Caenorhabditis elegans: one gene and its partner. The protein of the gene in region 2 interacts with the protein of the main gene of each other region in a pairwise test. Each region holds a gene or a part of one and is shown on either strand. Other genes may lie near its edges.

What was found. Proteins that work in one complex are often made in the same cells at the same time.
Region 1: the proteins of rheb-1 (region 2) and cgef-1 interact in a two-hybrid assay, tested with the Caenorhabditis elegans proteins (one study listed by BioGRID).

The regions. Positions count from the first base shown.
Region 1 is NC_003284.9:2,770,371-2,775,078, reverse strand, and holds the start of cgef-1 (DH domain-containing protein), read right to left. Parts: upstream 3,038-4,708; 5' UTR 3,002-3,037; coding exon 2,910-3,001; intron 2,887-2,909; exon of another isoform or gene 2,775-2,886; intron 1,265-2,774; coding exon 1,183-1,264; intron 531-1,182; coding exon 386-530; intron 256-385; exon of another isoform or gene 78-255; intron 1-77.
Region 2 is NC_003281.10:9,453,621-9,457,779, reverse strand, and holds rheb-1 (GTP-binding protein Rheb homolog 1), read left to right. Parts: upstream 1-1,749; 5' UTR 1,750-1,770; coding exon 1,771-1,843; intron 1,844-1,969; coding exon 1,970-2,095; intron 2,096-2,148; coding exon 2,149-2,245; intron 2,246-2,296; coding exon 2,297-2,353; intron 2,354-2,401; coding exon 2,402-2,528; intron 2,529-2,926; coding exon 2,927-3,070; 3' UTR 3,071-3,617; downstream 3,618-4,159. Other genes in the region: F54C8.7 (AH domain-containing protein), read left to right, coding at 3,721-3,799, 4,073-4,151. UniProt on the Caenorhabditis elegans protein: Binds GTP and exhibits intrinsic GTPase activity.

The sequences.
Region 1 (4,708 bases), on a different chromosome or scaffold from region 2:
TTCCTCCAATTTCTCCATGCTAATAAAGGAGGTACCATGTACCAAATATAGAAATCTACTAAAGTAATCGCGAAGGTAGAATATGAATGAAGCAACCGAAAGTGACTATTGCGGCCAACTTTACCCGCGCGGTGGGCCAAGCCAGCCTGGCCAGTTGTATAATACGGGCACTATAGAAAGTTAGATCGTGCATCGAAATCCCGCAAAATACCGTACTATATATATATTCGCGCCTATTTTGTCCATAACCTATTCGTAGAGCGGATGATTGGTCACCCGGACGAGTACGGCCGCTTCTGTCATTATTTTACGATACGTTAAGTTGCGCAATTTGCGAAAACTACTACACAGACACACACACACAAGTCTACCCGCTCAAACCAACCCCAATGCTCGTCCGTTGCGTCGTCTTCAGAATCGAAGCCATTGTCTTCGTGGAAAACTAGACTCGTCGCAAATGGATGAGTGGATCGTTCCATTACCGATCGGTAGCCAGAGTCGTTTAGTAAATCCACGTCTTTTAGTGCGGTCTGGTAAACACATTTTTGAATAACAAATTATGAAATTATGAATTATGAAGTTAACAAAAGTATTCGCCCATTACGGGCCATTTTCTATTATTTAAAGCTAATTTTCCAAACAACCCAACTTTTAAATTTCAATCGATTTCATTAATTTTTTTTTTTTGTGAAATTGAAAATGAGAGAGAGAAAATTATAATGAAAATTATATTTAAATTTTCCAATAGTTTCAAACATTTTTGGCAATTGATTTCGGTAAGTTTCAAACAAAATTATTTTTTGAAAATTGGAAAAAAAGGTTAATTTTGACATGATTTTTTCATAGTTTGTGCGACCGATTATTGTTTTAAGGCATTACTAAAACGTGGAAGTTTGAGCTAAAAAAAAAGGGCATTTTGTCAGGAAATAAATTTATTAAAATGTTCGACCATAACTTTAATTCAAAAATTTTAGAAATTTAAACAGTTTCCGTTTATTTTTTGAAATATTGTCAATTGCCAATTTCTATTAAAAATGGTTTCAAAAAAATATTTTCAAAAATAAAATTATATACAAACAAGAAATAAAAATCTGTGGAGTGTACTAACAAGGAACAAGTGTAACGCGTTCAATATGAATGAATGAATAAAATAAATGTTACTACGAGTAAAATTAAACTCACTTTCAAATCCTTCAAATCAGTGTCCATATCGTAGAAAAAAGCAGGAGCCTCAATAAATTGACTGTTAGATTTTGATACAGACCTGTAAAATTAGTTATTTATGCATAGCAAAATGATTTTACTTGGTCAATAGACTTATTTCTGTTAGCCTCAAACGTTAACCCCCTTTTTTAGAAAATTGTGTTTAGCCGGTAATTGGTTGTTGTTCGACAACTAGGAGGGTCTCAACAGGTGACAGAATCGGTTATGAACATGTTTCAGATTTATTCATGAGGTTTTTCAATAAAAGATGTTCGCACTTTTGCCAGACGTAACGTTGAAGTGGAAACGGACGGCGGAGATGAAGAATGACTCTGTTTCTTGCCAATTTCCGTAGTCTGGGAAACTAACTTCCTTTGGAACGCGTTTTTTTTTCAAATGAAAATAGTTTGCTGAGAAAAATTCTCATATTCTAGCATTAAATTCAAATGAAATGTGAAAAAAATCGAAAGTATGTTTTGGCACGATTCAGAAAAATTTCACAAAGTTGAGAAGAAACACCGAAAATATTTTTTAAAGTGGAGTAGCGCCTAAAATGTACACACTTATTATGATCCAGAACGTTTAAATACTCTAATAAAACACTCCAAAAAATTTTACGTTTTTTTTTTAAATTTTTAGTCAGAGTTTTGGCAATTTACCAAATTTTTTGAAAAAAAACGAGCTTTTATGAAAGTTTAAAGCAATGTCGCACTACTAGAACACGAATAATTGAAACAAAATTGAAGTAAAAAGTCTTAGAAAAAATATTTTTTTTGTTGATTTCCAAAATTATGATTAGGAAAAACTGAGGAATTGTCACTTTTTGACACAAAATAAAAAAAATTCCGAAAACTTTGTGAACAGCTTTATTATAAAATTAATTTTATTTTGACTCCATAGGGCAGTTTTAAACATTGTCCTAACTGGCACTACTCCTCTCCTTTTTGAAATTTTCTGTCAAAGTTTTGGCAAATTGGCAAATTTTTGAAATTGCTAAAAATAGCCAATTATGTTCAAAGAATTTTTTTACAATTTTGTGTGAGGTTCTATAAAGAAATTCGTTAATTTGAGAACACAAACCTTACACCAGAAACCTTACCATATTCAAAATTAAATTCTCATTTAGTAGCATTTCATCAAAATGTGATACTAAAAAACTTCAGTACAAAGCATTGAGCCGACTCAAAACCAATCTATCTTTCTGTCAATCACTCTCATTTTTCAGGCTCACTGCTCCTTCTACGGATCAGGCTTGTGCAAATAAATGTGAAATTGAAGTTACGTAATAAAATGTGCAGAAAAATGAAAAACATTCTACTCGGGAAATTTTTGTGTTCACAAATTGTATACCCACATTGTTGAATTGCCAGGCGGAGTACTCATAATTTAAAAATTTTTTAGAGACGTAGCTGGTTGCAAATATAAAGGTTCAACTTCCGCCACTAACTTTTTTGTAGCATTTTTCCAAAACCGAACTTTGCCCGAGACGTGATGTCCCTGGAGATTTTGGTGTGGAAGTGTGTGGGTTGGTGGAAAAACACAATGTGTATGTATTTTGAGCCGGTCAAAATGTGCATCAAGATCGGTTTTTTTTTCTAGTAGAGACTGCACATAAACAAATTTTGAGTGATTTTTGGGCTCCTTAGATTAGAGAGATAGTTTCACATGATTACGCGGCGATGTCTTCGAAAACTTCACAAACTCACATGGTCATTGGTCCCCGCGATAATGTGGATGTTGTGACTTCTTCTGATGTGCTAGCAACCATGCTGCCGTAGCAGGACGGAGCCGCCTGCATTTCAAACACTCGATTCGTGAGGCCCTCCACTCTCCTGAAAGTTGGAAAGATGAACTATAAAGTCAGAAAAATGTAGAGTACAATGTATCAAGTTAAGCAAGAAAAAAACGTTCAGGAAAGCGTTTAAACTCAATTCCAAGACTCCTCGGTGCTCGTTTTTTTTTCAACGTCGGCAGTAAATGAGAGCGCAAGTTGAAAGGGCAGATGCTCTGAACGCTTTGCTTCTGTTCATCAAAGGGCATGTGTGAGTGACATTTGCGCGTGACTGATTGGATTAATTCATCAATAGGAGCAAAATGAGAAGACACTGGGGTTAGGAATCGTTGTGTGTGTGGAATACTAGTTTGAGAAAAGAAAATGTAACGGACACACATACAAATAAATTGGCTATTGAGATAATTTAAAGCAGAAATTATATTTTAATCGTAGAGTAGAGTCTTTTTGAAATATAACTGTGAAAAATTTATAAAATTTTCAATTATTCATAACTCTTTAATGATATTTTCAATTGTAAAATTGAATTCCAAATTAATGACGTCATTTTTAATATTTTTGGCTAAAGTTATTGGTTTAAAAAATTTATTTTTTATTCTACATTTGATTATAAATTTGCAAGGTTTCTTCACGTAAAAATGTCTGAAAAAATGACAACTGGGGTTTTAAACCAAATATATGAGAAAAATAAAAAATTACCTATAAATTTAGCTAGATAACCCGAAAATATAAAAAAATGACGTCACTCACTTCTGCGGGAGTTTCATTTTAATTCGTTCCTTTCTTTAGTTTTTGCAAAATTGAAAAATCATTAAAAAAACAATTAATAAATTTTATTATTTTTTTTACAATTTTATTCGGTCATTTGGGCCCAATTTCTATTATTTAAACCAAAATTATAGAATGAAAAAAAAAATTGAAATCACGTTTACATAATAAAAAAAAGACTTATTCTATATAAATATCTTAACGTGAACACATCCGATAACTATGCATAGTGATTGATTCGATATTGATGTGAACTTGTATAATTCCATCGGCCGGGGTTATTGCAGTACAGAAAAAAGTTGGGGCCGATTTGATTGGATTCTTCTAATACCTTCGGCCAAAAAAAAAACGAATCTTTTTTTTTGAATTCATAATTTATATCCTACTAGCAATCACTGTCGGTCGTCATTTTCCGGCCTTTATGTAGTGAGTGCTCTTGTTTTAGTTAATTAGTTACTTTTTGAAACTATCAAGAACTTGAAGTGGTACAGTTTTGGGAAAAGTGTTTTCAACTACATCTATGGTGCCAAAATGCCATAGTACAACTTTTCAATGTTTTTTTTTTCAATTTTATATAAACTGGCAAAAAGTGTTAATTATTTGTGTTAAAAAAAATTTTGAAAGCTGTTTTACAAATTTTTTCACTAGGATTTTTAATTATTGTGGTGCCAATAAATTATCAAAGTATACTTTATGTTTGAATAAAAAGTTTTACATTTTTGATAGCGTGATAAATAAAAAATAAAGTGTGAAATTTGAGAATTAAAATAAAAACGCTTAAGCGTTTCTGATGGATGGGAAAAGAAGAGTAAACAGAAGCCACGCAGTTTAGATGAGAATTCCATGAAATGAAATGAAAGGAAAAACCAAAGAAAAAAGGAAATATCAAGTGTCAAGAAGATGAGGATGAAGACAGCAAATGCCAGAGGCAACACCAAAATGAAT
Region 2 (4,159 bases):
AGGGGGATAAGGAAGATCAGCGGCGCGAGAAGTGTCTCGAGAATATTGGCGGCGGCCAACGAGGCGCGAGGAGCGACTTGAAGAAAACGCGATCGGTGTGAGAAGGAAGAGTGTTCAAGTGATAGTGATGTAATGATTGCGGCGCCCAACAAGAGATAGAGGAAATCCTGGGTCTCTCTTCCTTGTTTCAATCTTCAACTTGTCGGCCAGGTCGCGAAGAGGAGACAGCTGACAGAGAGAAAAGGCCAAGGTGAAGGAATAGAGAAGATAGAAAAGAAGGGACGAATGGATGGATGGGTGGATGGATGACGGACACACGAAGGTGGGATCATTTGAGACGAAGTGAAAAGACAACCAGTTGCTGTCATGAGAAAAGGACGATGCAACGATTACACCAAACAACTTATAATCATTTTGGTCCCGGTTTCAGCGATGTAATTAAAGCATATTAAAAAAAAAAACTCAAAATCTCACCTTTCCACGTGATTTGATCCGTTTGTTGTAACTGTTCCATTTTTCAAATTTGCGTTTTTCTCACCCGCTTGAGGAGATGTAGGCGTGTTTGGTGCTGTGGGCTGAAATATGAAGATTAAAAAAGCTTAATGGCAGAATTCTATTAAACTCACATTCAATCGGCGATATAGCCAATGTATTGAATGCAAAATACTAAGCATGCTCATAAATTTTCACTTTGTTTTGTTTTAAAACTAGTGTAAGAAAAGAAAATTAGTGGTTATCTCTACCCCTGGGTCATTAGCGGCTGCCACTGGCTCATAATGAAGCCGTTCTCATTTTACTTGAGGCAAAGGAGAAATCTAAGTTAAAACTGATGTGAGAATATATTAGTGGAGGGCTCGCATCCAAGAGAGTAAGCTCGGAAGTGCGTGAAATGAAGGGAATGCGACAGAGCTGTTTGAAGTTTTCAAATCTCTAGAGGCCATTAGAAAAAAAGAGTATTCTTTGGGTTCGATTTAGTGTCAGAACAGACTGAGCTTTAATTTTTCGAAAGTGTAAGTGTTTAGAAAAAGGGAAAACTTCTGAACAGAAACCGAAAAATGCTCACCTTTTTCTTATTGGTCTTCTTCTTCCTTTTCTTATTTGGCAGTGGTACTGTGCTGTTTTTTTCTGGTCCGCCCATATTCTACACTTAAACACGGTTCGTTTCACTGAAATTGATACAAATAAATAAAATAGGACTCATCAAAATTCGGGGAAAACAAGAAAACACTTCAGAGGAAAATGTTTTTGAGTTTTTAAAAGTTTGCGGAGGTTAATTGAACAACAAAAATGATGATAAAAAGATTATATCTGCCCGTACAAACATAAAATATAATTCTTGATAAGACCTATGCCAATTTCGAATGATAATAACGCTTTCAACGCGGAGGGCTCAAATTGGCGGCCGTTTTGCGCCAGAAATATCGATCTCGAGTTTGATCTGCAGGTTTGCTTGGGTACGGTGGGTTTGGCTTGCTGCCAAGAAGTGTATCATGCGCCTCCGTCTCTTATTTTCACACGCTCTCTCGCCTGCAATTCTCTATTTACAGTTGGTTTTTAGTTCGTTTTATCAGGAAAAAAGCGCATATTATTGCAAAAGTACATCATTTCTTTGTTTCTACATGTTAAATATTAATAGAGAATTTAAAAATAATGATGAGTGTTTAAAAAAATAATTTTTTTACTTTTCCCTTTTTATTTTATTTATTAATTTTTTATACTTCTATCAAAACTCAATCATTCAATATTCAGAATATACTCATTTTTGTGAAGATGAGCAGTTCGCTGCAATCAAATCGTCAGAGTCTGAATCGAAAAGTGGCCGTTATGGGATATCCTCATGTTGGTGAGCGTTTACGACAACTTTTTTTTGTAGAAAATCAAACATACCGGGAGCAAAATTGAACAAAGCAATGAAAAAATTAAAACAACTTTATTTAAACAAGGACATTCACGTTGAGAAACTTTACAGGAAAATCGGCGTTGGTACTTCGTTTCACACAAAATATTTTCCCTGAAAGGTATGAATCAACAATTGAGGATCAACATTCGAAGCACATAGCAGCGTTTCACAGGGACTATCATTTAAGAGTCACTGGTAAATTTTATCATTTTTTGAGCTTACTGAAAACTGATATTAGATATTTCCAGACACAGCAGGACAACAAGAATACACAGTTTTCCCGAGAAGTTGTTCCCTTGATATTAATGGATTTATACTTGTTTATGCAATCGATGATAGAAAATCGTAAGACTTCCGTTTTTTCTTTATTTGTTTTATTTAGATTTATAAATTCAGATTCGAAATGTGCAGCAACATCTATGAAAAAATCGTAAGAACCTATGGTGACACAAGGTATTTGAGCAGAAAGTAAAATTGCAGTCAAAAATCAAGAATTTCCAGCATTCCAATTGTAATTGTTGGAAACAAGACGGATCTCAGCACGCAAAGGGTCGTTCGAGCAGAAGAAGGTGAAGAACTTGCTAGACAATGGGATGCGAAGTTTGTCGAGATCACGGCCAGAGAATCGGTGAGTTGAATTTTTTTTAGAAAAAAGAGTACTACATACTTTTAAATTGTGAAAATTTAAATGTAAACTACGAATACATATAAAACTTTTTAGAAATTTTAAACTTATTTATGAAATAAAAAGTTTAGATTAAATGAGATCTATGAAAAAATCATCCAATAAACATTCTACGGATCGGTAATAAGATTTCTGCCGGAAAATGGAAAACTGCGAACATAGTGTGTTCATTTTTGCGTCTAATATGTGTCCCTCCCATATTTATTTCGCAATTTTTCTTTTTTCTGCAACCTCTCTTCTCTCTTCTATCTCCGAATAAAAAAAGGGAAAGCGTCTGCACCTCTCTTAGTCAACGTGTTCCTACAGGTTTCGACACGTTGCTTCATCCTTCCAATTTTCAGAATCGAGTGCATGAGGTGTTCGAATTGCTTCTCCGTGAGATAGAAATCTCGCGTGGAAATCTATCACCAACGGAGCGTCCAAACGGTAATTCACCAAAAAGGAATCCGTTTAAGGATGATGGAAAGCCGTGTAGTATCAGTTGAACACAGTTTTTTTTATTATCAATTTGTACATTGTCTCTTTTCTGTTTCTTTTCCCCAAAATATCTAGGCTTCCTTCACTGCTAGTGCCCTATTCCTTGCCGCTGGTCAATAATTATCCGCCTTCGCTCTTCTTCGCTTCCTCACTTTATTCGATAGATGCGAGACAAGATAAAAAAAATGAGATCAGGAAAACGTGGCTTCTTCTCTTTTCCTGAGAAATGTATATATTGTTTTGAAATTTGCGGAGAAAAAATCACTTTCAACTGGTCTGTTTCTTTCATTATTTTGGTTTTCTCAACTATTTGCTCAACTTTTTTTCCCATTTCAAAGTGCCTTACACCGGTTTACATGTCAACGTGATTCTTGTGAAATGGCTTTTTCCTAGGTATATAATTCCTTCACAATCATGATTTCTTTTTGTCAAATCTCCACTTTCATCCGGTTATTGTTTTGTTATTTTCTGTTTGTTTTCTTTTCCCGAATCTGTTTCGTTGTAAATACATCAGATCTTTTAAACTGTTAATGAAAATAAATCTTAATAGTTTTTACTGTTTTTCCTACTCATTCCACTCCTAATCTACCTGGTAGCTAGCCAAATTCGTATATTCGAAGTCATTCTTCTTTAGTTGTCATAGCGACTGTTTCAGATGATGACGGGCTCAACGGCTTCACCTCCTGAGCCATCTGCACCGCCCGCCGATTCACCGTTCGCACCGGTGACGCAAAACGGTTCGTTTGCCACGTGTTTAGGGATGTGCGGCAAGATTTTTCGGCGAACATATTTACAAAACTGCTTTTAATGTGAAATCATGGTAATCCGTGTATTGTCATATTCTAAATAAGCACTTTCCTACTTTTTCCGAAAAAATTTGCCACACAGCCATGCACGTTTTCACGTGAAATGCATTTTTTTTCATTTTCGTTAAATAGCATTTAAATATTTATTCCTCAAGAATAAATTTAATAAATACTTGAGAATGAATCGATATTTTTGTTTTCAAGACTCGTCACCAACTTCTGATTCGACGGAAACAATGAGCAGAATACCAACTGGAATAAAAGTTCCTGATGTTGTGGCCAAGTAAGTAT